2 linked regions of the Alligator mississippiensis genome follow. The protein of the gene in region 2 purifies or fractionates together with the protein of the main gene of each other region. This does not show direct contact. Links are inferred from orthologs where the notes say so. Each region holds a gene or a part of one and is shown on either strand. Other genes may lie near its edges. The genes, in order: KPNA6 and PTPN2.

Evidence for each region.
Region 1: the proteins of PTPN2 (region 2) and KPNA6 purify together in Homo sapiens (affinity purification with mass spectrometry; 3 studies listed by BioGRID and IntAct, with this or other methods). This does not show direct contact. The link is inferred for Alligator mississippiensis from reciprocal best matches to the Homo sapiens genes PTPN2 and KPNA6.

The regions. Positions count from the first base shown.
Region 1 is NC_081829.1:5,506,546-5,522,577, reverse strand, and holds the start of KPNA6 (importin subunit alpha-7), read right to left. Parts: upstream 7,956-16,032; 5' UTR 7,851-7,955; coding exon 7,847-7,850; intron 1-7,846. Other genes in the region: protein FAM229A, read right to left, coding at 13,481-13,583, 15,204-15,322. UniProt on the Homo sapiens protein: Functions in nuclear protein import as an adapter protein for nuclear receptor KPNB1. Binds specifically and directly to substrates containing either a simple or bipartite NLS motif.
Region 2 is NC_081826.1:97,922,260-97,938,693, reverse strand, and holds the start of PTPN2 (tyrosine-protein phosphatase non-receptor type 2), read left to right. Parts: upstream 1-8,914; 5' UTR 8,915-9,021; coding exon 9,022-9,090; intron 9,091-16,434. UniProt on the Homo sapiens protein: Non-receptor type tyrosine-specific phosphatase that dephosphorylates receptor protein tyrosine kinases including INSR, EGFR, CSF1R, PDGFR.

The sequences.
Region 1 (16,032 bases), on a different chromosome or scaffold from region 2:
CTACCCAAAAAAAAAAAAAAATGAAGTCAGCCCCTGAAGTGCTACCCATAGTTGCTGCAGTGACATGGTCCATCCTGAATCCTTGTCAGCACCTGCCTGCAGGCAACACAAGCAATATATACATTCTCTGCTCTTCTACTGTCCCCATCTACAGTCATTCCAGCCTCTGGTGCGACAGTCTAATGCTGCCGGATCAGAAGCCCAACCAGGGTCTTTCAGCATGTTGTTCCCTCCTCCTCCTGGCCATATTACAGAACATGTCTGCTTCAGACAGTTTCTCTCTCAGCGGCTGGTTAAAGCCTCCTAGCTGAGTCACTGCAGGGACTCACATGTCTAAATCAGGACTTGTGCTGCTGAGTCAGAGACAAAAGCAGACAGAACAGGGAAACAATTACATTGTCAAATTTGACAACACGGAATTTTTGGTCCAAACACCCCACCACAAAGGCAGGCTTTAGAAGAAAGTCTCTCTATACAAACTAGAGAGGAATTTGAGGGCAGATGTGCTGCTAGCTAGGGTGAATTTTTCATGCCCTGGCTAATATGCTTAGTCTTTGAGGTTGGTGTCAGGTGAAAGAGAGATGCATCATTACATCCCCTCCCTAACAGGCTATATTTTCTTGCTGTGAAAGGAACTGAACAATCAGGTAACATTTACTCTAAGCGGTTTTTAACTGTAAAGCTGGTCAACTTACCATGAAAAGCCTGTTTTTTATGAATACCAAAGTTCACCGATAAACAGCCACACAGTGCGGTCTAGCCAGCTTTGCTTGCTACTTTCTTTGATTCTTTTCTTGACCTCATGGCAAGTATCATTCAGATTATACTTCTTTCCGAGTCCCATGGCACCCCCTCAGTATTACTACTCACCTGCCTCCCCATTTCTTAGCTCAGAGCCTACAGGGAAAAAAAAAGCCCCCCAACAGCATCATAATGCTTACTTGTTCCTGTAAAACAGGCTGCTGAAGACACATGCCTGGTCACTGCCTCCATGCTGACCTCAACCTCCTGGTATTCTGTCGGCATGCCATGCTGGAACGGTTTTATCAGAATGACTGCCTTGCAGAGGCCTAGCAAAAGCCCCAACATTAGTCTGCATAAAGTCCCCTCAGAGATTCCCTAGCTACTGACAGGTCAGATAACCATACTGGGAGTGAGCAAGCAGAGAGGAGGGAAAGAAGTCTTCATCTGCAGGCTTTGTGTGTTCCTGAACATGAGCACCGCCGGCAGCTTGCCTCGTCAAGGATTCTAGGAGGTTTGCAAGAAGAGGCAAACTTAAGAGCTGAAAAGACTTCAAAAGTATTCCCCCCGTCCATCCTCACGAGAGATTTTGTGTTTTTATTGCTCCCTTCCTTCCACCCTACTTCAAAGTGAGAGTCTCTGGCATCACTGAACAGGCGGCTACCTCTGAGAAGGGGTGCCAGGCAAACTAGCCATAGCACTACTAGAATGAGATCGGTCCAAGGGGCTACCCCTTCAGCCTGCCTTTTTAAAAGGAGGCATGAGATCCTGAAAATAGCTCTCGTCTGCTTTATATGGCCATGTTCATCCAAAACATTTCCATGCTGTTAACTGCATACAGCTCCACTTATCTACCCAGAAAAATGTGAGCAGCTGCCTTTAGAAAAAGCTGCCGTTCCCAAGTTCTTTCCATATCATGATATCCCATAGAGGAGCTGCAATCATTGCACTGGCCAGTTTGTTCCCCAGGTCCGGTTTAGTTTAAATGTTTCAGTTCCACTTCACAGCTGGGTCAAGTGCAGTTAACCAGGTTTCCTCTTCCAACCTTATCTGTAAATCTCAGACATCAAGATGCGACAGTTAACCTCAGAGCAGCCATAAGCCCCCACCTGACCTGTCTGCTGAAGCACATCAGGGAAACCAATACTGTAGTCAAAAGCGATAAGACTGACTTTCCATCAAAAACAAGGAGAAAAAGCTGTGCCCAAACTCATGGGAAAGACGGCAGAGTGCAAAGTTGTCGCGGTGCCTCTAATTTAGAAGAGTAGTGACAAGTGAACACAGGATGACGTGCAAAAATACAACGCAAGAGTCCCATTCTAATGGGACTCTTGTCTCTGCGACTCTTGTCCCTGCCTCTGCCCAATTTCTGAAGCCTTTTATATTTTGGCAACATGTGGCTAGATTTGTCCTGAGAAAGCATGACTGAACTGGAGTACAAAGGGCACTGGAGACAGGTCAGTGAACTCAAGACCTGAATGACATCACCCTACACCTTTAGTCATAACTATTATAAGAGTCATACCACCTACACCGTGATTCTCAATCAGGGTGCACGAGATCCTTTTAAGGATGCCGCACACTATTACCATTCATAGATTCTAGGGTCGGAAGGGACCTCACTGGGCCATCTGGTCCGACCCCCTGCCCCTGGCAGGCAAGAAAAGGGTCAAGCCTGGGGTCATGTGATCCCAGCCAGGTGCCAGGCCAGTCTCCTCTTGAAGACCCCCAAGGACGGGGTGAGCACCACCTCCCTTGGAAGCTCACTGTCAGGTGTCAAAACATCTACATGATTCACAAGGTAAACCCAGAGCTTTCAACGCAGGAATCCACCGTATAAAAGCATTCTGACCTGCTCGGGTCTCCGAGTTCTTTGCAACAAGAAAACTGCTCTATTATTTTTCCACAGTCAAAAAACAAGTGAAAGCTAAGAGCTTGCACTTTCTAAGGGGGAGCTGGAGTCTAACAAGGGATGTCCCCACCGACCTCCACAAATAATCTGTACAGCTGTTACTACTGCAGTTTAAACCATAACAGGGCTAAGATGTTACATATGCAAGTATATGTACATACAAATACATATACCTTGCACTGTGTTCATGTAAAGCTCAAGGGAAATCTGTTTAACTCTGCACATGGAAAGACGATGACTGCAAGCCTCCCCACCCCATTTCTCTGAAGTTTCCACTCTTCTATTTCGTAGAAAGTTGCCTTTTAAGCCCAGTTGGGTTTTACAGACTCCCAAACAGCTGCTTGTAAGGATAATGAGGAATCAATGCTCATTATTCAGTTAATTGCACAGCAATCCTCAAAGAGGTCAACAGGCCTACAGACACTAAGCAGGAAAAGATCAATTGCTAATTATAGTCATCACCAAAGCAATAAGATTGGCAGGTTCATTTCTTTGAGGGGCTTATTTCTGATGAAAATGTCCATGCGCCGAAGGAACGGCTCAAGGTTTAAAAAAAAAAAAAAAAAAAAAAAAATATCAAGCAAACTGATTACAAAGCACATGCCATGTTCCTCCCAAGGAAGTGAGCATTTCACGGGACAAGTTAATGACTGTTTAATGATGCTGGAAACCAAAACAAGTGAAGTGGCTTTTGCTGAGTACAACAGCTTCACATAACATTGGGTTCATCTGTCACAGTCTTAAAAGACTGTGGTCTTTTTTTTTTCTTTTAATGAAAGATTTGCCAATCTCTGCCTTGCATAGAGTTTTATCACCAGTTGTCATTGTTTAACTGAATACAAGAGGTAATAGCTGGGCACTGAAAGTTAAGTCAGCCAGACACTCCTGCTTGTCCATCACCTGTTAAATTGTCCAAAGGCTTAGACATAATGTGCCTTCAAAAGCCGACTTCTTACAAAAAGTCTTGATAACTGCATTTTTCTTCTGCTTTCTCAGAGAAACTTGATTCGCTGAAAGATGAATGTCCTGTTATCTTGTAAGATAATGCCTTGGACTTATTCAGCACCTACTAAATTGTTAGGTTTGACTAGCTAGTATCTGTACAATGCTTTGAGATCCCCAAATGGCAGGAGATGTGGAAATGCAATACATTTTTCTAGTAAAATGCATCCTAGTACAACATCCAACCTCTTTTGCATTCAACCACTAATTGGCACTTCCTTCAAACTATAGCAGTAGACTGTGCTTCCTGCTGGGAAGTCGCAGTAAAATTGCTGCATTCGGTGAGCAAAACAGAACCATTCAAAGCCACGGAGACAATGGAACACCAATAAGTGCCCCTGAAGCATTTAGGAATGTAATCCTTTCCTCCTTTGATCTAGCCAATATATTAACACTAATCACTGTAATTTCTTTAAAAATATAAAAGAGAAGCCAACAGTTACAAGACCACATCCGTTTTTTTGTGATTTTTTTTTTTAATTAAATAACTATAGGTAGAAGTAACACCTGGGATCAGGATAAACTAAATAAGTTAGTAAATGGAAAGAAAATCCTTTTGCTGTGTGACTGACAGCACTAAAAAAAGGTGCTTTTACCATTACTTCTGCAATTAGTTTCCTGATTGTTGAAAGATCTGTATAACCTGAATGGTGGTACAGAAATAAAAGCCTTACAAAATTCAGAACAGTATCAAAAATACAATGGAATTGAAAAATCATTTTTTAAATGCAAGTGGATAACATCATTTTTTTTTTTTGTAAATAAGAGAAGAATGCAGAGTCCTGCTTTACCAGCTAGCAGATAGTTTCCATAGGTTCACCAGCAGCAGCTACAGATAAGGACCTGTCAACATTTGTCTAAGAAACTCTCTCCTTGAATAGTTCGTAACTAAACTAAGAGAATTCACCACGGTCAAAGGTTGTAGGGAAAAGAACCTAAAGTTGTATTTGAGAAATATCTGACCATCTAATTAAGCTTGTCAGGAAGAATATATACACAGGACAGAGTTAGCTGCATGTACACATGAAGGGACAACATTAACTCAATCTAGTGCCTTTCTAGAACTAGCTAAATAAGGGGGGGGGTTTACTGAACCTGCTCTTTAGCTCCAATACCCATTTTCAAGTCGTCCCTCACCTCTTGTACCAGTGAGGTTTCACTTGCAAGAAAAAGCAAAGTAATGCAGAGAAACCATCAGAGAAATTAAACTGAGGTTTCCCTCCAATATTTCAGATACGCAGATTAAGTGTTACATGTGGCATTGTTCAGAAAAAGTTTCAGTAAAACAAAGTTTAAGATTATTAAAAAAAATAAAAATAGAAGAGAAAACCATAGGTATTTTCTGTTTCGTACCTGGGCCACATTTACCTTCTCAAGGCAAATTCTTTCCTGAATGTTCAATACAAACGAACATCCGTTAATTCAGTGGATGCTAAGACCTGTCTTAACACAGCCTGCCTTGGATCCCATAGCTGTGTGCTGTGCACACAGCACATTCTGTGCTAGTAAAACGCTTATCCATGCAATTATTTTGGCTGTCTGGTGCAGCAGTCACCATTGGCTCATTCCCTTCTGTTTTAGCTACCGAGAGCCCGTGATGTGATCTCATTTTTGGAAGGCACAGCCACTTTGCTGATGGTGCTGGCTGCAGAGGGAGAGGAAAAGCAAAGGTTTGCTTCTAGGGAATTCACCGTCACTTGGTATATTGGTCTTTCACCAAATTCAATCCTGTTAAGGTTTGGGTTGAGATTACAGAGGCCTGAGGGAATAAACACAGAGGTTGCCATTTTTTCTTCAGCCAGTCCCCAAAGACTCACTTTCACATTCAACTGTCTGCCCAAAAGCTTGCAATTAAAGAGATTTTTTTTGCAAAAATCTAGCTGGTCTAATAAAAGATATAATCACCTCTACCACCAATCCCAATCGCTTTTTCCTCTAAACCAATATAGCTACAACCTGGATACCTTCTTTACCCTCCTACATTTTCCAGGTCTTTTCTGTCGCTTTCTCCACAGAGCTGCGCGCTTCGTGCAGAAGACAAGTATCCCAGCATACATAGACAGGCTCTAGCATCTACAAAGGCATAATAAAGACCAAGCTGATCTTAGCTGGAGTAGTATAATAGCACTTAAACCAGGGGATTAGGCCTCTGTCTAAACCAAACACTTAAGACTTGGTGTTTGTACCTGCTCCAAGCATTTCACCATTCCAGGTTGCCTTGAAACTCCTTCCCCAAGAAGACTACAAGGGAAAACGCCCAACATTAATCTTTGCTAATACCCAATTTGTTAAACTTAGATAGTGTTGTGTATGCACCCCACCCCCAGACTGTAGGTCATCCTAAAGTTTACTTGCCTTCCGCAATGGTTTGTAAATCGTTTATTGAACAGAGATCCTATTTCCATGCCTTTATCTTGACCCTTTCCCACACTCATTTCACAAATAAGTGTTCAGTCCATACAACCATATGCAAAGCAAAGCAGCCACCTAACTGAGCTGCCCAAGTTTTTGTCTCAAGTAGTTTTGTGTCAGCATGAAGCGTGGTGCACTACTCTATGTTGTGTGTGCACAGCTTGCGCAGCAAAGAGCTTGCTGCGCAGGGCTGGACATAACACACACTGCTATATACAGCAATCTCTTTAGCTCTGTCCCTCTGTTATGTTAACATTACCTGCATCGGCTGTTTTGGTATACCCAAACTGAGCACTTAACCACTGCCTCAATGATCTGCCAGTGCAGGTTTTTTTTATGTAAAGCCTAAATTACTCTATTCAACTGCTTTCATCCAGAGAGCTGAGTTAGCCGGGGTCGTAAATCATGTAACACAGACCAGCAGGACACACGAAAGGGGGCCTGCTCCCCCTGCGTTCGCCCTCTGTTTTGAGAAGCCAAGTGACGGCTTTCCAACCTCAATTCAGTTCAAACCTCCGGTCAAGAGCTGACATCCAAGTTGCGATACGTCAGGCAGCGTCCCGGACGGCACAGCTCCATCGCTACCTCGTTCCTGCTCTCGGCGCCGCTTTTTTTAAGTCATGGTTTTACAAGCAAGCGGCGTTGGGAGGTGGAATAAAAGATCCCGGAAAGGCCGTTTTGCCCAGGCAGGGCCCAGAACCAGGGACTTGCAACTAGACCGGCCTTTCCTTTGACACCTCGCTCGACAGCGCCGTCGTCAAGCAGTCGGCCCTGGCTTTCAAGAGGGGCCGGCCGGCCGGCGGTACGCTCAGCCGGGTTGCTTTGGCTTGTCATCCAACCCCCCCCCCGCTCCAGCCTGGCTCATTAAGGGCCTAAAAAGGGCGGTCTCGCCCTTCCCGGCGTCGAAAGCCTTCGCTCCCAGCCAAGCGAGAGCAGATCAAGGACGCGCAGCACGATGCTCCTACGGAGAGCGACCCGTCACCGTCCGCTCGCTAGACGCGTTTCCCTCGCTTCGTGCCGTACGCGCCTCGCTGGAAAACGGGCCCAGCTCCAATTTACATGCAGGGAACCCACTTTCAAAGAAGGACAGTTTGAGAGCGCTTCAAGACGGGCGCGTTATAGAAGCGGAGACACGCAAAAATCGGATACGCTCCGAGACCTCAACTCGACGGCTCGGGCGAGACCGTTTTGGGGCTCGCCCATAGCAGACGGCGGGGGCGGCTGTCCCTGTCACGGAGACGTGTCGCAGGCAGCCAGGTCCGTGCGGGAGGCTGCATTTCGGCGCCCCCCCGCCCCGATTCACGGACGGCGTGACAGCGGGGTTACCCCGCGGGTAACGAAACCGGGGCACGAGGGCGAACTGGCACATCCAGGCCGAGGGACACCTGGACTCGCACGCGGGTATTTTGCTCCCTGTCGCCTCCACAGAGGCAGCCCCACGCAGCGACTCTGCGCCCAGGCTCGGGCCCGCTTCCTGAGGGCTGACACCCGGGAGCCGACAGGGCCGGGCCGGGCAGGGCAGCGACGCTGGAAAGAAGCCGGCTCGGTCCTGCCTGCTCCGGGGCCGCGGGTTTTTTTAAGACGAGTTCCCGAGAGCGGGATGAGCCCCGCCGGGGAGGCGGGCGCCGCTCGGCGCGGCCCGGCCCGCACCCCCGGGGCAGGCCCAGGCCGCGGCCCGCGCAGGGATCTCCGTGGGAATGAGACAGCGCCCCCGGGGCCGCGAGCACCCTGCTAGGGGGACCCCCCGGCGCCCACCCGGGCCCCGGCGCCGGCCCTCACCCATCGCTGTCTCCGGCGGCTCCGACGCTCCGGCTCGCAGGCGGCGGCGGCCACAATATGGCGGACGGGCAGCGAGGGGGGGGGTGAAACGGCGGCCGCGAGCGGACAAACCTCCGCGCGACGCGATGCGGACGCCTCTTAAAGGGACAGCGCGCCCCCTGGCGGCCCGGCGCGGGCGGCAGCGACACGCTGGAGCGCCGGGCTCCGTGCGCATGAAGGGGGCGAAGGTAACCCGCGAGAGCGGGACCCTCGTTACGTCTGCATGGAGCTGTATATACCGAGGGCAGACAAGGCTCCTTGGGTGAATCGGACCTCTTGTATTAGGCAGAGGTATATTTTTGTCACATTATGACACATGAAATATACACCTGAAATGTATACATGAAATATACATTCATAGAGTGAAAATGCCCAGGGTTTGGGGGTTTTTCTTCTCATTTAGAGGCCCCTCCTATTGGGCTCTCAAGGGAGAAGGGGCTCCCGAGGGAGGTGGTGCTCTGCCCTATCCTGGGGGTCTTGAAGAGGAGGCTGGGCAAGCCCCTGGCTGGAGCCGTCGGACCCCAGCGCCCTTCCCTGCCCCGGGCAGGGGGTCAGACTCGATCTGCTGATGTTCCTTCTGGCCCTAACACCTATGAAATCTCTATTGCAAGGCCCTAAACTGTAGCTTAAGTAGTTTAAGCCTAAATCCGGCACTGTGTGCACTCCCTGCCTGGGCATCCCCGGCTCCCGCGGGAGCATCCTTGCTGGGCACCACTGGCCATGGGCCGGCTCCATGGACACTGCAGGGCAGGGCCCTGGTCTCGGGGACCAGGTGAAGGGGAGGCAGTCCCCAGCTCTGGCCGGCTCTTGTCCTCACCCAAGGGGGCAAGTGCCATTAACCCAACCATGCTGTACGAGGCTGTTTGTCTGCCAGGGCCTGGTGCCAAAGCAGCAGCTTGCTGCCCACCTGCCAGATTTCAGGGGCAGCAGCCACCTGAGCCAGACTGGAGCAGAGACCAAGGGAAAGCTTCCTTATCCCAGGACTAACCCCAATAACGAGAGAGAGATTTCTGCCTTTACCCGGGAACTGCTCTCCCCCTCCCGCCTGAGAAAGGTACTGGTGCTCAGACCCAGGGTAAATGGCTGTTTGCTTTTCTCTGCGGGCAGAGGGAGATGTATATGGCTGACATGTGCTGGCAGAGGCAAGGGGTGCTATTAGTTCCTCCATTTCTGTCCCCGCTCTCCCCAGCAGTGTGATGCCAGCAGTGCTGATCTTGCTGGGAAAGGCTCGTGCCAACTCACTAAGGCAACTGGTTTCTGCCCCAGCCCAGCCCAAAGGTGGAGCAGGAGCTCGGAGGGGTCCCTTCAAAGCAGCTTCACTTGGTGGAAAAGGCTGAAGCAGGCCCCAGCCTGAGGAGCTTTGACACTGCATAGCAAGGGGCCCAAGGGAGAGAAGGAGCCTAGGGGTGGCTTTCCCCCCTGCCTCTCTTCTGCACTCAGAGCAGAGCCTGCTGCAACACCTAGAGAGCAGGCGGGCAGGTCGGTGCTGACCCACAGACCAGGGATCCAGCCCGAGCCTCCCCCAGACGGTGTGGAAAGGAGGAAAGCAGGAGCAGCATTGAGGAAGAAATCAGATGCTACCTTCCCAGCTGGAAGCAGGAGCTTTCCTTATCCCATATATGACAAGATGCTGACTGTGCAGTACTTGCATACATAAGTACTAAATCACTGTGCAGTTCCTGGAGTCAGCGCACAGTAGCGTTGCTGAATGGCTTTTAGGTAACGTCACCTGCGCAGTAGTGTCGCACCACACTTTGTGCCACGCAATGCTACTGTGTAGTAACGAGCTACCGTGCAGTCAGCGTCTCATGCAGATGTGACCAGGAAGTGTAATAATTGCCCCACAATATGCCTCTGAGAATGCCTCCCCCCCAGTCTGCTTCATGCAGTCACAGAGGACTCCGGTGATTGTAGGACACAGCTTGCTCCATCTAGATGCCTTTGCACAGCAGGGTTTGAGGAGGGGGTGACCTTTAGCACAGGAATAGATACAGGATTGGTACTGGCCAGTGCGGTTTTAGTGACCTCATCAATAAAAATGGGATTTTTGGAAATTACACATGAGCTGGGAAAAGTAACAGAGTTAATACAACCGGCAGACTTTGGCCAGGCACAGGTAGCATGGGAACTGCACATTCTGCTTTTATTGAGTGCAATAGCAACATGAGAGTGATGGACCAATATCTGCATAACTGACAAATCTCAAAAAAGAAAAAAAAAAAAAGTTACCTGTGGGGAGCTATGATTCAAGTGGGGGAAGGGATCTCCCACGCTGTCTCAGGGATCAGGACAATATGCTTTGACGGTGACCAGGGGTTAATATGAAATCAATTGTGGCAGATGGCAAATAATGAAAACAAAGTAGTTCAGAGCCCTCTGGCATAGGAGACGGGCGAGAGCAGCCCCTGGGCACATTCTTACACCAGGGTCCCTTGCTGTGCAGTGTTGAAGCTCCCCAGTCTGGGACTTGGCTGGGGTCTGTTCCAGCCTTCTCCATCAGGTGAGACTGCTCATACGGGACCTCCATCAGAGGGCCCCAAGCACTCTTACCTTCCACCCTTTTGCTGAGTTAGGGCAGGAACCAGCTGCCTTAGTGAATCACCTGGTGCACCCATTCAAACATAATGTCGTTAAAGGCAGCCCAATGCAAGGTTCATAAGTCCCGGAAGAAAAACTGCAGGCTGTGCCTCCAGGCTGGCGCACTGGATTCTGCAAGGCAGCCACTCTGAAGAGGATGTAGGGATCCTAATGGGTGTACAACTCAAAACGAGATCCCAGAGCAAGGAAGCAGTCATGAGGAGGATGCTGCACGTGGCACTGATGATGTAGATATCAGGATGCCGCACCCCATTTGGGCATCTGTATTAAAAAAAAGTTTTGAAAAATTGGGGAGAGTGCAGAAAGAACCCCTGAATGATCGAAGGGCTGAAGGAAGTGCTGCACAGAGACATCCGAGAGACTATCGAGGCAATTTGATTTTCAACATATAAAAACCTTCCTAGTGACACTAAGACACTAACACTTTCTCCAACGTAGCTGCAAAGGCAGAAGGCAAGGTAGAGATACACCTTATAGACTATCTGAATCAGAAAAGGCCAGAACAAGACCCAACAGCTGCAAGCTGAAGTCAGCCAAATTCAAAGCTAGGATGAAGGCACCAGTGTCTAGCAGTGGGGGAATGAACTGTTGGAACAAACCACCCAGGGGAAGCACTGGCTCCTCCAGTCTTTGAGGCTTCAGAGCAGGACTGCATGGCTTTCTAAAACAGAGTTTCAGCTAAACATGCCCTTGGGCTCCATGCAGTGATAGCAGGACAAAACATAACAACATGCCAGCTTTCCCTGTGGAAGGAGCTTTGACAGACTCTTGTCTTTGCATTGCCAAGGTCACACTGGATGATCTAATGATCCCTTGTCTTGGAGAAGAGAGGAGAGAAATCCAAGATGAACATACGGCAACACAAGGCGTTTTTTGCGCGCACTGCTAAATCCAATGATGTTACCTCTATTATTCCGGGTGCAGGGGACAAAGCTCCCTATAGTCTCTGGCACAAGATGGTATACATCTGCTGCCAGGCTCCTCTCTGTCTGAGCTTTGCTCTCAACCCCAGGGCAGCAGGAACCAGGGATGTTAAAGCATAAGCTGCAAGTTGATGGAAAAACGGAGTTTCTGTGCCAGCTGCTGGCAGGGAACCTTATGCTCCACAGCCCATCCTCATAGGCAGGAGTCCTCCAACCCCCAGCACGTGGAAGCTAGTGAAGATGTAATTTCATTGGGGTGGCACGTGGCCTGCAGAGCCAGGTTTCCCTTTATATGGAGCTCTGACGGGCTCTCATCTTTGCATGGGGGGCCAAGATGGCAGGAAAACATTTCAAGTCAAATGAGGTAGACACATCAGCCCCCACACCCGTGACAGACCTGCTGCTCCAACACCAATTCATGCCTGATAGAGTAGAATTAAAGGATGGAAGCCTCCAATTTCAACAGGTGAGGAGCTGGCAACTGCTAGCTTAATGCCTTTGGCCAGAGGCAGAAAACATGCAGAAAGAAGGCTAATTATCACAGCAGAAGTACTGCTTTGACCACAAGGAGAAAACCTGTCCGTGTGGGAGATGGACCTCTCAACTTGTTGCCACAAAGGCCCACTGGACCTGGGAACCATCACGAATCTCCCCCTTTCTGCTTAAGAGCACCAGGCATGGCTGTGACACACATGCTCCAAATACACACACTCCATGGTGTGGATGTTAAGCAAACAAATGCCAACCCACCCATGCAAAGCAGGCCTGAAATGCTGCCAAATCAGGGGGCTACTCATGCCCCTTGGTGCAATGCAGGGGAGAATCACACCCCTGGTGCATCCAAGAGAAACAAAGGCATAGACATCTCAACATCTGCCTATGAAAAGCTCTGGATTAAAGAACTTTTCTCCCCCAACAAAGGTGGTTACAAAACTCACAGGCGGTTCAGAGATATAAAGGATAAAAGTGATTCCACATTTGGAAGGCAGGGATGAGGCAGCAGCGCTCTGTGCCCTACCTCCCAAGTGATGAAGAGCAGAGCCCTGGAGGAACCCTGGTTGGAGCAGCCTGCACACAACATGCTCTTACTGCTGGCTCCCTGCCACCTCCTTCCCTCCCCTGGGGGTGGGCAGCCCCTGTGCTAGTGCACGCTATGGGAGGCTCCCCTGCTACCAGCCACCCATCCAGCATTCAGCTCCTGCACAATCCAAGACCACCTGCAGTCCCATCCACTGACTTGATCACACTCCGAACCTCACCCTCCTTGCTCCGTTAAAGCGAATCTCGTCACCCCCACCAACCTCTGCCCCAACCCAGGCTGTCCAGCAACACCTCTGTGCTCAAATACATTCCCCACACTCCTCCCCATGACTGGATCAAACCCAGCAGGAGCAGGGGAGGAGGCTGCTAGTGCTACCTATGCTTCCAGCCAGCCAGTGCAGGGTCCGTCCAATTCCTCTTCCACCAGAAAGGCCAGAGTGAGAATAGGGAGAGCCTGGGAACCAGGGCACCCCACGCTCTGCCCTTGCAGGAGCTGCCTGCCCGCCTGCTGAGTTGGGTACCAAGCAGATGCTGCAGGGCTGGAAGAGAGAGGATGGGAATGGGAGGGTCAGGCTGGGGACAAACCAGTGTTCTAGAAGGGCATTGGGAAGCAGCCCCAGGTAGCCCAGCAGGGAGAGGCAGCCATGGCAGGGGCAGGGGAGACACATAGGTTGAACCCAAAGACTGTCAGGAGCAAATCATACCAGCTTCTGATAGAGCCTGGTGCCAAAGCCTCTGCAGCAAGCCAGGACCGCACAAGCAGTGCCCTCTGCCAGGCAACCTCCTCCACAAACCTGGAGCCGGTCATTCCCTGCCGAGACCCCAGGCACCAGGCACCGGCGAGAGGCCCTGCCAAGTCTCTTGGCGGGAGCCACGGCAGAGGAACCCGATGCAGAGGAACATTCTAAGACGTCCTTTTATTAAAATGTGCGTCACCGTTCTGCGTGGCGCCCTTTGCTGTTCTCCGGCTGCCGGGGCGTTGCTGGCGGCAGCCTCCGTGGCCTCAGCACTCGAGTCCAACTTGGGGGAACCGCTAGGTGGTCCGCGGCCTGCGGTTCCCACCCATGGCAATGTAGACGTCAATGGGGACGTTGGGCAGCGTCAGGCAGTGGCACCCTGGGCATCTTCTCAGTTGCCTGCACAATGAGAGAGAGTGGGGGTTGTGGGTGGGGGGAAAGGAGACCTGGTTGATTCCAGCCTCCCAGGAGGCTGGTGCAAGGTTGCTGACATGGTTATCTGGATGCAGAGAAACATGGGCTGGCCTGGCAGTCTAGCAGCTGGCTCCTGCCAGCAGGGGCTGGACTGAGTCAGGGGATCAGAGCCCGCCTGGACAGGGCAGGGAGGCAGCAGCACTCGGCTCAGACAGGTCCTTTGTGCCCTTTTCCTCTGGCTTTATGCAGAGAAAGGCTTTATGGGATCTGGCATTGCACCCCTACACCAAGGATACCAGGATGGAGCAGCAGCCTGAGACCCAGCTGGAATATACTGCCCACGTCCATCGGTAGAACAAGGGGAAGACCCCTCAGATGCCCCACTGAGGGGGGCCGGCATTGTCAAACTCAGCTCTCACAGGGAGGCGGATCCTGCACAGAGCCCGCATGTCTGAGGAGATAAAGGCCAAGGGGTTGGGTCAAGACCTGAGCCCGCAGGGGTGCTGCCGGGGGCTGATATGGCAGCTCCCAGGCAGCTGCCTCAGCACAGCAGAGCCACCCACCAGTCAGAGCAGTCTCGCGAGGCCTGAGCTGGGTCTCGTGCTCTGCGGCACAGCTTACTGAGAAGGCAGGGTGGCAAGGATGAGCGTGTGGCAGGGCCAGCCCACTTCTACAGAAACCTGGTTCCATTCACACTGTTGCTCTCTGCCGGTGATAGAGACACCAGCCCAGTAGGGAAGGGACCTCCCACACACAGCCATCCCAGCCCTCCTCCAGCTCATGTAATCCCTTTGCTAAGCCAGCAGCCCCTTCCCTGCTCCTCATCACTGTACCCCCTGAGCCCCCTTCTCCGCCACCCACAGGCTCCAGACCAAAGTCCTGAAGCCCCAAAGTCAAGGGGACTCCACCAGGGGTGCATCTGCTCCCAGCACTAAGCTGTACTAAAGCAGGTACCCAGGGAGGGCACACTACACAGTTAACCCTAACCCAGCCCTGCCCCTCTGGAGCTTTTTTCAGTGCCCAGTCTGCAGGAACCAGCCTGGGCTGTTAACATGGTTTGCCAGAGCTGGATCAGGCAACTCTTACAGCCAAGAGGCTGTCGCAGCCTGCCCAAGCTGGGCTGGCCTCCCCTGAACAGGAGCAGCTCCTATGGGGCTACAGCACCCTTTCTCTTTCTTTCTTTCCAGCCCCGAGATGTCTCTGTGGCCTCCTCCCCAGTGCTTGGGAAGAACACAGCTGGACCAAGGAGACACTGAAGAGCAGAGGGAAAGGGCTGAGACTCCTAGCCACTGCACCCCCCCCAGCAGGATCAAAGGGGGCAATTGAAGAGATTAAAATAAGGCAACACCCTCCCTCTCCACAGACCAGAAAAGCCCAGGTTTCTGGAGTGGGGGGGATGTATGTGAATGACCTAAACACAGTAGCTGCCCCTACAGCAACCAAGGGGATGGACCCAGCGGAAGCAGGACTGGCCCAGGCCAGAGCCCAAGTGCTCACTGGGGGTCACTTCCCAGCTTCCAGCCAAGAGAAGCTGCATCCCCTGCGCACAGGGAATGGCTGGCTCACATGTGCACTCAGCTTCAGGCCCCCCATCACTGCCCGTACCTTGCTGCAGTGTGCTCAGTGGCAACTGGCTCCTGGGTTTCTGGAGCAGCTGCCAGGCTGGGGGAATCTCCTGCCTCGATGGGGAATCTCCGAGTTTGTGGGGTCTCCTGAGAGTTCATGTCCTAGCCCCAGACCTGTTTGATGACGAGAGAAGCAAGGTAAGCATGGGTGATTTGGCGGGGCCAGAAGCTCAGCGCCATCCACCCCTTCACCTCCCACACCCTTGTGAGGCCCTGACACACTTTGCAGAGGCTTGGGAGGATTCCCAGGAGTACGCCTGGCAGTCTGGGAGCCTAGTGCAAAGGGCACAATGCGAGCAAGGCAAACAGGAGGCAGAGAGCCTTCTGCATTGTGACACGGGAGGCTCCTCTTACATCACAAGACAGCTGGGGCATGGCCTTCTCTGCGTTCCCAAGCCCATAGATCAAGGCCTGGGGCTCTTCCCTGGAGCCCTGGGCACAGACCAGAGCTGCTGTGTTGGGCACCATGCTGCCACACAGCAAAGCCACAGCTCCCACCCCAAAGAGCCTGCCCCAAGTGTAAGACCACAGCTGGTTGCAGACAGGGAGCACAAAGAAGCTGAGGCCATGTTGACTAGCAGCGTAGTCTCAGTGCTCCAGACTTACCTGGTCTTAATCTAGGGCTATTTTCAAGCCAGATCCCACCAGCCTGAGAAGGCAGATGGGAGCTGCCTCTGTTCCCCAAAGGCTGAGGAAAAGGTCTTACCTTGCAGATGCTGAGACCAAAGGAATCTTTGAGGTTGATCTGTATGTTCCCTCCTGGACGCCAGTCCCTGTGGGGATCCATCATGGGGTTTAGAAAGGGATCC
Region 2 (16,434 bases):
CTTGGAGGAGCCAGAATAGTTACCTTTCTTGAGGCTGTGGATCCTAGATGAAGCTGGTGGAGACTGGGACAGTGGTGAACCTGTAAAGAGAGAAAGAAGAAAGGAGGCTGAAGCTGTAAGTAGTTGTCAGGGAACAGGAGGAAGGCACCCCGGGGTGAACCTTAGAATGAATCAGGCTGATGCAATGCCTGAATATGGATGGCAAACTCCTGAATATGGATGGTACACTGTCTGAACCAGAACTGTGATTAGATATGGGATAAGGCCCAACCATGGCTGATGGACTTTGTTTTAGCCTGGGTCAAGGACTACCATCATCTCTGGTTGGCGCAAGATGGGGTGTAGGGGAGGCGAAGCCCTGAGATGGAGATCCAGGCAAGGAAGATGAAAGAGCTAACCAGGAGAGGCAGGATTCAAGAACATCCTCCCAGCAATAATTTGTAACAACAAGACGTGGCTGCAACATAATGACTGGGGCTTTGTAATGTAGGGAAGCCTTTACATGTTCGTATAAATATCCCTTATCTTCAGAGAAGGAATGGCATAGTGCCCTTTCCAAAATTTGCACAATGGAAGACTTGAACATGATACAATTTGACTTGTTAAAGGGCAAAGCTGTCGGATGTGTATTTGTGAACACAAGTTGCTTTAGTGAGAAATTTCTTCATCTACCCCCAGTTCCAATTCCAGAGTGATTTACAACAAAGTATCACAGAAAAAAAAATTCTAATTGATGACGTTTATACCATTGGTAGCAAATGGACCAAAAATGAATGGAGCAGGGCACCAAGATGTGCGTGCTACTTCAAAGGGCTCAGAAGGCTAGGCAGAGCTCCACAACTGCATGTTGCCTTAAGCAATGGCCTAATAGGGTAATTGGCCTGCACCTGCATGCAGTCAGGTGACCAGGAGGAGGCAGGGCCCTGGAGGACACATAAGTCTAGGGCTGGAGCTAGGAGGAACACCCACTCTCTCTAGCAATTGCCAAGGAAAGGAGTCTCTGCCCAAGTGAGCTATCTGAGACTAGGTGCTGCCTATTTTGCTGCCTACATGAACAGTGAGGATCCAGAGGTTTAAGGTACCCATGGCTAAGAGATGTGTTGTCCTAAGGGTGGAAGTTTTACCTTCTTAAAAAGACAGAACACAGTCTCGATTAGTGTCGTTATGTTGTAGCCCCAGAGCTTGTATTTGTGTTATCATTTAATAAGGTGGACCGGGATGAGGCTATAAGGGGAGGTTTGGAGGCCTCATTAGTGCTCAGAAAAAAGGGCACATGATCTGGACAGAGCCCAGTGACAGGCACATACAGCTGGGCACCAGAGAGAGGGAGGAGTGGAGAGCCAGATGTCAGAGAAAGGCATAGAGTCAGGCACCAGAGAACTTGGTGCCTGAGTGGTGTAGAGATGCAGGAGCCAGAGGCTCCATGTCAAGAGGACTTATAGAGTTGCTAACAACAGTGTAACATCTGCGAGGCATGGGACATGCTAAAGGAAGGTCGGAGTTGTGTGCAAAGACCTAGACATTGGGCATTAAATGGCCAGCTTCCCACATTATTATAACTAGTATCTTAACAACAAGGCATGGCAGAAGAGACTGGGCAGACTGCCCTAGACAGGGGGGTGGGCTGGTACTGTGACCAGGCCCTGGAGAGTGCCCCAGTGCCACAGTGAATATGGAGAAACTTGCACTTAGTCCATTCCATAGTGGAACCAGAGTGAACTGTTATGCCAAGATTATCATAAAATTATCACTTCAGGTTACACCATTACCACTTTTATTTTTACAGCAACAGTTACCAGACATCAGCCTTGCAAACAATATCACACATTATACAGAACAGTCCCTAGGGTAACCAAAGCACCACTGAGTTCAGCACTGCTGCAGATCCCTACTCCCTGAAGCCAATTTAATTTTGCCACAGTAGCAAGATGCTTCCCAAATTCTCACTTCACTCCAACAAGAAAATATATCCTTGCAATAATTATTTGTTTTTTATGCTGCCATACAAAAGTATCATCATTGTCCTTTTCCAAAAAAACCCCCAAAAACTAACCCTGGGTGGATTCTAGTTTTTCATATATCTCTGTTTGGGATGCATATACCCCATTTTAACCTCAACCATTAAAGATTAAGATGGGGTGGTTCAGCTTCTAAGTGGCCGAGGACCACGCACCCTGTGGGCAGCACCCGCTGGGGTCACAGTCCCTGGCTTGCATGGAGACCCCCACCACTGCAACAACCCAGTGAGGATGCCCCCCCATCACTGTTGCAATGCATGCCACACTGCCCCAGCCTCAATAAGCTTGTCATGCTGCACTGCACCACTCTCTAAGGTGGGCCCTGAGCATGGAAGCTGGAGGAGGAAGAGGGCTCTTGGAGATTCTGGCTGCTATTGCAGCCAGAGCAATTGGGGGAGTGATAGCTGAGTTATTACCTGCTTTCTCAACATGGGTCAAGCACTAGCTGTGCATCAGTGGAAAGATAAGGAAGCTGCAGGTCAGAAAGGGTTCTTCCTCAGTAAAGGGCTTTAAGGGAACTATTTAGGTAAGTGGGAGAGGCTGCTGCAGACTGACACCTCTGGGTACATTTGCACCTGAATATTAATGTGACAGTTCTAGGAACATTTCCAGAGCTGCCTTGCCAGGACACTTCTGAATTTGCAGTATGTGTATGGGTACAGGGGGGTAAGGCATATCTAGCCCCTCTCTTCAGCAGAACCTACCAACAACATAGTGTAGAAAAGGTCATAATGATCTCACCAGGGTGCTGGAGTCCTAACCAAAATGCTGGATGGGGGAAACAGTGTTTGGCAAAGTACAGTAAAAATTAAAGCAGGCTCACTGCAAAAACCTACTACATGAAACTGGTAGAGGATGCCAATTGGCAAAGTCAGGAAAGCTAACCCACACCTTGTCATAAAATCCATAGATGCATCACGAGTAAGTCAAAGGAGGTGATCCTCCCCCTCTATATGACATTGGTCAGGCCTCAGTTGAAGTACTGTGTCCAGTTCTGGGCACCCCATTTCATGAGTTAATAGTCATAACAGATGGCATGTCTGTAAGGAGAACAGAATTAATCATAAGGCGCACCAACAAACTAACCTCAACTTCTTGCAGTTGAGATTACATTTAATCTCTGCACCAATGTTTTTCAACTTCTTTAGGCTCAAGACACCCTCCGGAAAATGCTAAATCTTAGTTTTCACTAATGTATTAACTGTGAAAAAATAATAGATCCATTTTTCTGTTGCAGAAACCTCAGAAAGACCACAACAGGTTAGAATGTTTTTGACACTATGGATTCCTATTTGAAATGTCTGGGTTTATCTGGTGAATCATGTTTGCACACCTAACACTGCTCACACTGCTGTGGCACCCTGGTCAAGAATCACTGCTCCACACATGAACACCTCATGCCTCCTGGGGCACGATGACCACCTGCAGGTGGTGGCAGTGGCAAGTGGGGACTGCCCGCAGGTGGCCGCAGTGGTGTTGGCAGCAGAGGGTCGGGGTGGTGAGCACTGACCGGCAGTCAGAGACTGCCTGCAGACACCACTGGTGGTGTCAGCAGCGAGGGGAGGGGTGGTAAGAGGCAACCACCTGCAGGTGCAGCTGGCACCAGTGGCAGCCAGTCTCAGGGGGTGCACTACCAATCTCATGGGGTGCACGTGCACCTGCGTGCACCCCCTACGTGTCACCAATGGCTCCACATGACAAACTATTCTCTTCACCTTCCTCTGCAAGGTATCCAATTAATCTATATTGAAACTTTGAACACTAAACAGATTTATGCAGAGGCCAAAGCACTAGAACAGTGATTCTCAACTTTTTTTAGATTTGAGGTATCCCTTGGAAAATGCCAGCTCTTAACTTTCCTTCATGCCTTGACTAAGGAAACATAATAGAACAATTCTTCTGTGGCAAAGAACTCAGTAAGTCACAACAGGTTAGAATGCTTTCAACATGGTGGATTCCTATTTGAAATCTCTTGGTTTATCCTGTGAATCATGTGTAGGTGTTTACACACATAGCACCCCATGGCACCTTTAAAAGGATTTTGCAGTACCTTCGTTGAAAATCATTGCATTACTGGGTCATGGCTTGTTTTGCCTTTGTACATACATATCCCCTTCATCACTCTTCGTTTTGTCTCCACAGGTAACTTTAAATTCAGATTACACACAAATTAGTACAAGCCCAGGGAATGGATTAAATGGAAGAACTCCCATGACTTTATGATTATACTTGTGCTGCTCTTAATTCCTGCTCAAACTAGTTGGAACTACTAGGTGTGTAATTCTAAAAGAATACTGTTATAACAGTATCTTGCTTGCTTTTTTTAATCTTCCTCTGAATTATAAAATACTTAACTACACAGTTAATGTGGAATGGGAACATGGTATTGACAATACTATATAATTATATTTTATAATATTAATTGTATATTCCACAATTCTCCATGTTAGAGAGCAAAACTTGCAGTTCAGGGATTATCCAACATTTCCATTTCTAGAAACTGTGCACTTGTACAACATGTACCATGAAGTCTCAACAAACAGCAATGTTTCCAGTAACCTTTGCTTTACTAGTTGGTACTCTTCTATTCTAAACCCAGGTCTAAGTCACAACAAATAAATGCTCTTTCCATTTTCCAACAGATGGGTGCAGGCATAGAGTTGCATAACAGATTCAAAACAGAACTTGTACTGCAACCCTCCACCTAAGAAAATACCTACGTTGCTCACACCATGAGCCTATATACCCAAATGGTTTTACAAGTAAAAACCTGCAATGTACAGGGCAGCTCTCATTAGAAGTCTACTCATTAGAAGAGATGATACAATCTCACACGTTCATACATCAGCAGCACTACTCCTCTTCATCTTCCCAAAGACATACCAAGTTGCCAATATCACATTTAGTGTACGTGCCCAGGGATACTCCTGCTGATTCTTGGATGTAACATTATCATTCCCACAATCTGGACTGTTCAGAAAGAGAAAAAGATATAATTATGCTCCATGTGTCTAAGTCCTTCTTTTACTTTATTCTTATCAAGCAGGCTAAGCAGAATAATGGGGCTGAATGTAGTTACTTCCACTCATTCAGTTACTATGGGCTCATGTTTACCAAGGTTTGACCACATCTTTTTGACTTGTATCTACATTACCTGAGATCCCAGGTCGTCTCCCAACCACATACTGAGAGGCCCAGAATTGCTTAGCTTCCTAGCTCAGATGCATTAAGTCCAGCATGGCTACTTTACAGGAATGAAATAATTTAACCTAATTTGTACAGACATCAACATGGGCGGATTTAGGATTTGGAAAAGGAGGGTGGAGATGATGTGGCACATCATCACATCTAACACAACACACATTTTCTAGTTAAAGGGAAACTAGAAGCTTTACTAATATGCTCGGTGGCTAGCACTAGCACTATATTATTAATAATCAAAGCAAAAATAAATATACTGGAATTTGCACTAATTTGCTACATTATATATACATTTAAACAAACCAAAACAAACTAGGTAAAAAAATTGTTAGAAGATATTGTGACACTAATCACGTAATCATTATAGTTAAATGTACATCTCTTATTCAGATTTATAAAATAAAATCTAGCCTTCCTGAACATCTTGACAGAGCCTCCAATACTTTACTCAGTCATTTCTACACCTGAGTTAATACTACCACACCTGAGTTACGGTTTTTAGCTAGAGTTAAAAACAGTCTGCAGGTCTGTGATATAGACAAGAGATGTTGCCAGGAAAGGCTAACAGACAACGAAATTGCAAAAGAAAGGACAGTTTGGATAGTGGAACACCAAGACCATTAAAAAAGGATTGTGAATCCACTGCAGAGTGAAAAGAGATTAGCAGGAATCAGGGGGGTGATAGTGAGCCATTAAGCCAATTGACTCTTTCAGCACTTTCTGAATAGAAATACTGATGCCCCTCCCAGGCAGTTGGTTTTAAAGTCTGGGTGGAGCAGGAATCAAAGGAAGCGGGGTGTAACTGGTCAAAAACCAGTTTCTCTTTGAAGAGAACAATTTCTGTACTCCTGGATAACTCCTTCTCCCCAGATGGTTCAATAGTCACACTTCATCCTTATTGAGCTCTGTCACAGTGCATTAATTCCTGTCTACTCCCCTACCATTAAAATAATTTATTTATTTACTTGTTAATCTTATACACTACCACATAACACATGCTTTAGTATACATTCACAGGACATTAAACTATACTCGTCATCTATCCCTTTATCTTGCAGGTAGACACAGAGGTCAAGAACTACATAATAGACCTACAAACTAATTTGGAAAATACCTATTTGGGATTTGATTAAATACCCTAAGAAAATATTCTGGAACTTAATGGCAAGTGATGTTGCACCAGCTCTGCTCCAGAGATACACACAATATTGTTCCTAGAGAGGATAAGTGGGATATTGACCCTTTCCACAGAATCAGGGGATTCTCCTTGGCTAGTAAATATGGTTCACTTTATTTCACTCTAACCCAAAAAGCAGCAGCCAGCCCTTGACAATTTTCTGAGAGAATAACACAGAATCACAGCCAGAAATTTATTTCAAAGATATCTACACTTCATTACAATAACCACACACACATATATTTTTCATACACCCCAGATGAACTAATTTAATTAATTCACTTACAAGCAATTGCAAACATACTCAGATTCCTCTAACATGTCTTTTTTTCTTCTTTATCATTTATCATCATGATGTCAAGACCAGTAGGGATACAGCAAAACAAGCAGGGCTTCATCTACTGGGGCAGTAATTTGCAACCAGGCTGCCATGACACCCTAGCGTAACTTGAGATCCTTTCAAAGATGTCCAGGGGGTATCAGGCAATGTTAGCCCTGTTAGGTGTGCAAACATGATTTCCAAGATTAAACCCAGAGATTTCAAATAGGAATCCATAATGTTAAAAACATTTTGGCCTGTTGTGCTCTTTCTGAGTTCTTTGTAACAGAAGAATTGCTCTATTATTTTTCCACAAAAAATGAGTGATAACTAAGAGCTGGCATTTTCTGACCAATGCCTCAAGTTGGAAAAAGTTGAAAACCACTGTACTAGGGTATGGGACAACTTATCTGATATATATGAACTTGTCACAGGGTAAGGTACTGCTTATCCAACGCTCCATGGAAATTACTTTTGCACCCCATCTATACTATGGTAATTAGAAAGTAAGCCATGGTATCTTAGTCCTCAGTGCCTGAGGGTTAAGTTACACAGGCTAGCTTCTGATTAGCACAGGTAAGGAATGACATCCACAGGGGCAGCTGCAGCTGAGCAACAGATGCACAGTAAAGCCCCACCCTGTGATACCTTTGTGCATCTGTGTGTTTAAGCAGTGTAATGCATATAATGGGAGGCAAAAAAAGCAGCAGAACAAAATGCTCACAAACAGATGTAACTGCATTTGGACTTCCCTTGGAGAAACAAGCAGTCAGAGATCTGGTCATCTGGCATCCCATGTTATTTAAGTTGTCCCATACCCTAGTACAGTGGTTCTCAACCTTTTCCAACTTGAGGCATCTGTCAGAAAACACCAGCTCTTAGTTTTCACTTGACTGTAGATAAATAGTAAGAGCAATTAGTCTGTTGAAAATAGCTCAGAAAAACCACAATAGGCCAGAATGTTTTTAACACTAGGGATTCCTATTTGAAATCCCTGGGTTTATCTTGCAACTCATGTTTATGCACCTGAGCCCAAAAGAAAGGAAGACAAGGCCCCTGCACATTACTTGTGCAATTCCTGTGAGTTGGAGCAGCCTCACATTTAGAGCAGCCCCACATGCAGAGCAATAATCACTGGATTAACTGGTGAGTCATGCCATAAATTTAGACATGCCAGCCATTAACCACCATAAAAAGGACTTTCCAGCTATAAAAAGAGCTGAGCAGCTACAAAGTTAGTGCTTGAACGTGCCTAAGAACTCCAGAGCTGGTTTCTAGCAGCTTGACGTGAAAGTGTGGCTGGTCGTGTGAGGAAAGGATGCGAAGAGGCAGAGCCAACCCTAGGGGAGTGGGGGGCCCCCTTAACACTGCATGGGGCTGTGGTGGGGTACCGCAAGGGTGGGGGGGGTCTCCATGCTTCTTCCGTAGCGCAGCCCCACAGGAGAGGATGTGGCCGCTCCGCCCAGGTCCATGCGCCCCCCACAAAGTGCAGGGCCCAGTGTAGTCACCCCGATTTTCCATACCCTAGGGAGGGCTCTGTGAAGAGGGCAGAACAGCACTGCTAGGTCCTATCCAGGGTGACAAGGTCAGTCAATCGGATATCTGAACTCAACTACTTGGAAAATATTTTTCTTGGCAAGCTGTGCCTGAGCGCTTGTACCTGAAAGCTTGTCAGGAAGAATTTTTCCAAGTCTTTGAGTTAGTCTAATAAAAGATATGGGCTTTACCCAAAGCACCTTCTGTGTCCACGTCCTCATAGCCAACACGCCTGGGCCTAAGGCTTTTTTGGCTTATTGCACGGCCTGCAGCTGGAGCACGAGGTGAGGCGCAAGCCGCGTCAGCAGAGGGCAGCAGAGCTGACTGAAAAACCACTGCTGCCATCCTAGGGCTCTGCCTCTGCGGGAGTGGGCTGGGCCCCTGGATCGCGTCCGTCTCCGCGCGCGGGACTGTAGAGGCGAGGCAAGCACTGCATCTCGGAATCTCGGAGGCGACCGTTGAGCTGAAGAGGCTCCACCCCCTCCTCACCTAGACGTTCCCGTGCAGCCCCGCCCCAGCCCTCGCGGCTTGTGACGTCACCCCAGGTGCTTTCCCCGGGGGGCGGGGTTGCGCCAGCCCCCGGGGGGCGGGAGCTCGCGGCGCGCATGCGCGCGGCGCCAGCGGAGAGCCCCGCGGGTTCCCGTGTGCGCGCGCGCTAGTGCCGGCGCAGCGGGGCGGCGGGCACTCGGCGCTCGCGCTCCGTGCGTGGCGCGCGGGAGGGGTTATGAGCCTGTCGGGCTTCAGCGGCTACTCTCGCTCCGGCCGCCATCATGTCAGCTCTCATCGAGCAGGAGTTCCAGGAGATAGACGCCGCTAACGACTGGCAGGCGCGCTACCTGGTGAGTGCGCGGGAGAGGGGAAGGATGCCAGGAGCCGCTGACCCGCGGCTCGGTTTCAGCTGCGAGGCTGCGGGAGGCGGCTAGTGCGCATGCTCTGAAGCAGGCACGCGGGAGGGAGAACGGAGGCGCGGAGGGTGCACTGGTCGGAGCGGAGAGGGGTGCGCGCATGCTCCCTGGCGAGCGCAGGGGGCGGGCAACGAATGCGGTTGGAACAACGCATGCGCCACGCGGGAGAGGAGGGGGAGGTGGATAGCTGCACATGCGCCACTGAGGGGAGGCGTGCATCGGGACTGGAGGGCGCAGGCGTTCCGTTCCCTCCCCCCCCTTCTGTCTTGGCTTCCGGGGCGCTGCTCCTGTCTGTGGCTGGGCGTACTGTTCCCCCTAGTCCCCCCGTTTTCGGCTGGCCGATGTTTTACCTCACGCCTGTAAAGTCAGGCTGAGGCGAAAAAGCGGCCGGGAGTAGTAGTTAGCCCTGTTAAGTCTGAAGCTAGGCAGAAGGCTGGGGAGATGTTCATCTTCTAGACGGGAGTAGAGTAGAGAGGCTTTCCTGAACTCCAGCTTGCTTCCTCTGAAGTGAGCCCCGGTTCATAAAAGCTTCTCGCTGTCTTATTTGGTTAGCCTGTAAGGTGCAACTCTGCTCTGCCACTGCCTGCCGAACAGCAAAGCTGGGGACTGCCTAGGATTCTCTCTCTCAGAACTCTTCCCCAGGCCGCGCCCCCCCCCTCCCCCCCCTTGCTGCTGGCTGGAGAGTTCAGCGGCAGCACAAATGTGGTAGCATTCATTGATTGGGAAGATTTGATGGCACACTCTGCCTGTGGTTCTGATGTGCCTGGCATTGCAGCATTTAACTGCCTGCCCCTGGTCTATGATATACTTGTGCATTATTTTGGGCAGAGGGCTGCTTACTGAGTTTTGGCAAGCCATCAAGGGCCGTATGACGGGCATCCCAGGATAAATATTAATTTTCTAAATTTTTTAGGGGCCCCACAGGCTGGATAGAATGGCCTGGTGGGCCGCATCCAGTCCCCAAGGCGCATTTTGGCCACCCCTGTCATACAGTCATAGAAATGAGGGTTGGAAGGGACCTCAGGAGCGCATCTAGTCCAACCCCCTGCTCAAAGCAAGACCATCCTCAATTAGATGGCTCCAGCCAGGGATTTGTGAAGCTGTCCCTTAAAAACCTTCAGGGATGGAGCTTCTACCACTCTTCTAGGTAACCTGTTCCAGTGCTTCACCACCCTCCTAGTGAGAGAGTTTTTCCTAATATCCAACTTAAACATCCCTTGCTGCAGCTTGACACCATTGCTCTTGGTTATCAAATCCCCCCACTCAAGTCTTTTTTTCTGCAGACTAAATAAACCCAGTTCCCTCAGCCTCTCCTTGGAAGTCATGTGCCCCAACCGCCTAACCATTTTCATTGCCCTCTGCTGGAGACTCCAGCTTGTCCACATCCTTTCTCTAGTGGGGGCCCAAAAGTGGACACAGTAGTCCAGGTGTGGCCTCACCAGTGCAAAATAGAGGGGAATACTTACTTCCCTCGATCTGCTGGCAATGCTCTACTAATGCAGTTCCCACAAATTCTGTTGTCCCCTTTTCCTGTGGCCCTCCCACCTAAGCATGGGGTTGTTCTGTCCTTAGTGCAGGACTTTGCACTTGTCCTTGTTGAACCTCATGAGATTTCCTTGTTGAACCTTATATCAGGGAATCTGTGCTTTAAACATTAAGGGATACTGAGAATGGATGGATCCCTTGTGCTTGTTGCAGGATTTCTTGTAGGTGGTGATTGCATTTGGGGGCTTGCATCTTAATTCAAGATGTTGTATACCAACTTCCTGGAAGATCCTGTGTTGCTTATTTGAATCAAAGCAACTCAATTACATGCAAGAAAATAACCTGCTTCCTATTTTTGTGGAAATAGGAGCAGTTAGTAATAAGGATGGTAATTTGCATTCTGAGATTTTTTTTTTTTAATTAGGGTGTTCACAGCATTTCTTGATAAATGCTGATGAGCTAACTTCTACTGTACCATATTGAGCTGTCTTAGGTAATCATGGAAACAAATGAGGAATTGACTTTTAATTTCTCTACTGTTTAAGAACCCCTGGCAAAATTAGTACTTCCTAGATCATTCTTTCTTATCCACTGCTTTCCCTCTTAAATTACATTTGCAGTTTGGTCTACTTTTGAACTTATTTTTATATTAATATATAAATAAGACATAGCATTTTAAACAGTGGTGTAATATGACAGTAGAAGACCAGTAATGTCTATGACTATAAGGTAAGCCTATGTACCAGTAGTAATGATGTAATCAATATGGGTCACTATTGCTGTTAAATAGTTACTGTTGTATGGGTTACTATTGCTGTAAAATATATATAGAAAGCACAACTGGTGTCCAGAGTGCCTCTATAAATCAAGTTAGTTTTCACAAATCCTCTCAGTTTTATTAAAATTAACTTGGATTAAAAATGTAAATATTAAGAGCTCTGCAAACCGTATAGTTTAAAACTATAGATTTTTCTAGTCTGATTTCAGATAAATGATGTAGTTTTAATAGATGTAGATTTTTGTTTGACTTTTCAACTTGTATGTGTGTGCATACTTACAAAGTGTTTTCAGTAAGCTTCCACGAATTTCAGTCCTACACTACAAAACTAAATTTTTTAATCTTTCTGGATTTGTTTTAACAGTAGAGAAATGCAAAGTAATTGTATTTCTGAATTCAATCAAAGTTATAGTGTAACTATAATATTGTGAGCTCATATGAAATTATACTCAATGCTTAGGTTGCATGTTCACTGAAATCACATTAACCTCTAGATACTTTACTATGAAAATATAAATAAGAAGTAGGTACTCTATAGAAATAATTTGATTACGTTCAACAAATTCTGAAGAAAAAAAGAAAATTGAAAACCAGGGGATTACATCCCCTATCTACTGAGTCCTTTATCTCTAACAAACTCATGGAGATGAAATTGTATTAGATCACAGAGCATCTGGAAAGAGCTCAAGGGTTTATTTAGTCTAGCCACAAGCTAGCAGAGAGCAGATTTAGATTGGACATTAGGAAGAACTTCTTCACAGTTCGAGTGGCCAAGGTCTGGAACGGGCTCCCAAGGGAGGTGGTGCTCTCCCCTACCCTGGGGGTCTTCAAGAGGAGGTTAGATGAGTATCTAGCTGGGGTCATCTAGACCCAGCACTCTTTCCTGCTTATGCAGGGGGTCGGACTCGATGATCTATTGAGGTCCCTTCCGACCCTAACATCTATGAATCTATGCTGCTCATTGACCCCCGTTTTTTTCAGTACAGAACTGTGATTAGGATATATTTCCCCAACAGATTGACTTCCTAGGTGAATACGCTGTGTATCACATCTGTCATCTGGTCATTTCCTACCTAGTTCATACATGAATAATTTTGTGATAATACTTGGAGAGTGGGGGTCAACCTTTTTGGCAGGTGTATCACAAATTAGCCTTGCACCCTCCCTGAATGCCACTGCCCAATTTGCTACTCTGCTTTCTGCTCCATACTCTGTGCCTTCAGCCCAACTTCCTACTAAGCCTTCTGCTTTATGCTTTAGCTGCTGCTGCACTACCTGTCCCCCTCACTGATCTGTTGCATGCACACAGAGGCTGCATGTGCCACTTGTGGCACTTGTGTCCCAGGTTGTCTGCCCCCGGCTGGCATAAGAAGTTGATGCCACTTATGCTCAATTGCCTTCCTTCAAGACATATTTGGGCCACTGTAGAAATGTTTTCAGCTAATTTGATCTCTGGGGAAAATGGGAGACTTATATAAACATGCATATTGAGACGTTTTCAAAATAATTATAATTGAGAAGTTGGGAGTTTCTTTTTTAATGTTTTTATATGGTGGGGAAAATAATTTTTTCCATACTTTCTATTAAGAGGTTTAATGTTGCTGTCTCACTTAATATGTTGAGCTGGTCCAAAACGCACTTGTATGCTGTATATTTGTGTTAACCTTGTAAGAAAGCAGACATTGATGTTAAAAAAGACAGCATACAATACCACACCTTTATGAAAAGTAGGAAAATTCTGTATCTCGGGAGCTCCAAAGTGGTTGCCTGCCAGCTGTTTCCCTTGTTCAGTGCAGTGCTTTTGTTGCTTTTTATAGCAAAACAAATGCCTAATTTTATTTCTTGTGCAAAGTGTCACTGCAGATAAAGTGACATAATATTTGCAAAACAATCCCAGTTCTTTGAAACTATAAACTTCATTAAAGTACTCATTCAAGTCCTGTCTTCAGTAAGAGGATAAAAATATTGTAGCAAGATTTTTTCTCAGGTTTGGTTTGGTTTTTTTGTAAGGTGGTAGGGAATGTAGATTTCAGGAGGCCAAAGAAGACAAGGCCCAGAATTAGGGGTGCACTGGTAAAGATTTTCTTGGCTGATACTGACAGCCAGGTATTAACAAGCTGTATTGGCTGATACCTATCCAATAACTGATTTACAGGAATGCAGCCTGGAGCTTGGAGAGCAGCATCTGGCCGGTTAGTCTGTTGAGGCTAGGGGCATGGGGGAGGGAAAGGGTGGTGGGCGGGGCGGGATTGAGGCCCCCATGGTGAGGGATGGAGTGGAACAGGAGTTGCCCAGCCAGGGCAGTGCATGTGACCCCTCTGGGAGCAGGACAGAGCTGCACATTCCTTGTCTGGGGGCTGCAGGGGGTGGAGGGGTGCAACTTTCTGATGCTGTGCACACTCCCGGTGGAGTTATGGGGGAGCCTGTGCCCCCCTGGATTCATGCTTGGGGTGGGGGCAGGCTGTGGGCTCAGGGCCAGGAGCTGTACTGGCCTTTTCCTGGTGGTGGGGGCTGGACTCAGGGCAGGCAGGGGCGGGGCAGTGTGTGTGGCGGTGGCTATGGTGGGGCTACAGCGAATTTTGGGGTGGCCATAGCCCACCCTGTAGCCATCCCTCCCAGCGCTGCTGCCCCTGCCTGCCCTGAGCTCAGCCTCGGCCCAGCTCCCCCACCAGGAAGAGGCTGGCACAGCCCCTGGCCCCAAGCTTGCGATGGGTTGTCTGCCCTCAGCCTGCACACAAATCTGGATGGGGGTTTATGCCCCTCCTGCTTCTCCCTGGGGTGAGTGCAGCGGTGGAGAACTGACCCACCTACAGACTCCCTGGATGAGCCTCCTGCGACTCTGTCCCACTCCCAGCGGGGTTGCATTCACTGCCCTTGTTGGGTAGCGTCTGCCCTTGCCCCACTCCTTCCTTCACTGTGGGGGCCTTGATCTGTTCCTTCCCCATCCCCCTCCCCCCAAATGTCCCTTCCCCTCCACAGATTTACTGGCAGAAAACTGCTCCCCAAGCTGCAAGGCTGCACTCCTGACCAATGCATGCTGTGGCTGCACACATGCACGTGGCATTTATCGGTGACATCAGCTACACCGGCCAAAAAAGGCCAATTGCTGATAACGTTAATTTTCCTTTTTTCGGTGCTGATCTGATATGCCACTGATATATCGGTGCTCCTCTACACAGAATAATTAGCTTTGGAGGTGAAACTGAATAAGGGGAACATAGAGCATTTTTGAGGGATATTACAACATTGATGTGAAAGACTGAGAGAAGGTAGAAATAAGATGGTATTACAAAGTAAAACATTTATTTCTTTACCTCACAAAAGAACAGAATAAGGCTACTAAGGTTCTTTATGGTGTATTGAGACTGTCAGGAGCTGTTATTTGCCAGTGGTTCTTCAGTTCTGTCAGAGATTACCCAAGCTTGCCATGAACACCTCTCTGTTGCTTGTGGTTATTGAGTTAATTTGTGCAGGGCTAGCTTAGTTTCATAGCTTTATAGTTGGTAGGGTCAGAAGGGACCTGAGTATATCATCAAGTCCGACCCCCTGCCATGGGCAGGAAAGAATGCAGAAATAAAATTACCCTGGCTACATATCTATCTAGCCTCCTTTTGAAGACCCCCAGGGTAGGAGCGAGCACCACTTCTCTTGGAAGTTGGTTGCAGATCCTAGCTGCCCTGACTGTGAAGTAGTGTCTCCTGATACCTAGCCTGAATCTACTCTCCATCAGCTTATGGCTGTTATTCTTCGTTAGTTCCGGTAGTGCTCGGGGGAACAGGGACTCTCCCATTGCCTGCTGGTCCCCCTTGGTCAGTTTGTAGATGGCCACCAGATTCCATCTCAATCTTCTCTTGTGGAGGCTGAACAGGTTCAGGTCCCATAGCCTCCCCTCGTAGGGCCTGCCTTGCTGCCCCCTGATCATGTGAGTGGCCCTCCTCTGGACCCTCTTGATGCAAGCTTAGAAGGCTAGTTAGTGAGGGGATGCAAGCCAAGAACATAGAGCAAATGGGGGTCCAGGAGGCTTGGAGGCATCTCAAGGGAGTGATCCTTGGGGCTCAAAAGGAGTCTATCCCATTACGTAGGAAGGGAGGTAAGGGGGCAAAAAAGCCCCCTTGGCTGAACAGGGAACTCCAGGAGAGTCTGGGGGCAAAGAAAGAGATGTATAGGTAATGGAAGCAGGGAGCAGCCACCAAGGAGGAATATATCTCCCTGGTGTGCTATTGCAGGGAATTAGTTAGACAGGCCAAGGCGGGGCTTGAGCTCAGGCTGGCTTCAACAATCAATAGTCCTTCAGGTATGTAGCGGGCAATAAAAAGTCCTTCTTCAGGTATATAGTGGGCAAAAGGAAAGCTCAGAACAACATAGGGCCCCTGCAGGACATATCAGGACAGTTGGTGGTTGATATGGGGGGGAAAGCATTGCTCTTCAATGAGTTCTTCGCTTCAGTATTTTTAAGTACCGACCAAGCCAGTTCCCCCACCTCGACCATTGACGGATGTCCACATGGCACCAGTCCGCCTACGGTTAGTTCTGAAATAGTTAAGGAGCTCCTGGAAGAGCTGGATGGGTACAAGTCAGCAGGCCCGGATGACCTCCATCCACGGTTGCTGAAAGAATTGGCCAGTGTCATAGCTGAGCCACTGGCACAGCTGTTTGAGCACTCATGGTGCTCTGGCCAGGTCCCTGAGGACTGGAGAAGGGCCATTGTGGTGCCCATTTTCAAGAAAGGGAGAAGGGATGAGCCGGATAATTTTAAGCCAGTCAGTCTTACCTCTATTCCTGGGAAAATGCTAGAGAAAATAATCAAAGAACACATTTGTGAAGGCCCAGCAGGGGAAACGATACAGAGGGGAAACCAGCACAAGTTTGTCACAGGTAGATCCTGCCTAACAAACCTTGTAGCCTTCTATGACCAGGTCGCACACTGCCTGGATGTTGGCGCAGAGGCTGATGTCATCTTCCTGGACCTTAGGAAGGCCTTTGACACAGTTTTGCACCCTATCCTCATTGGGAAG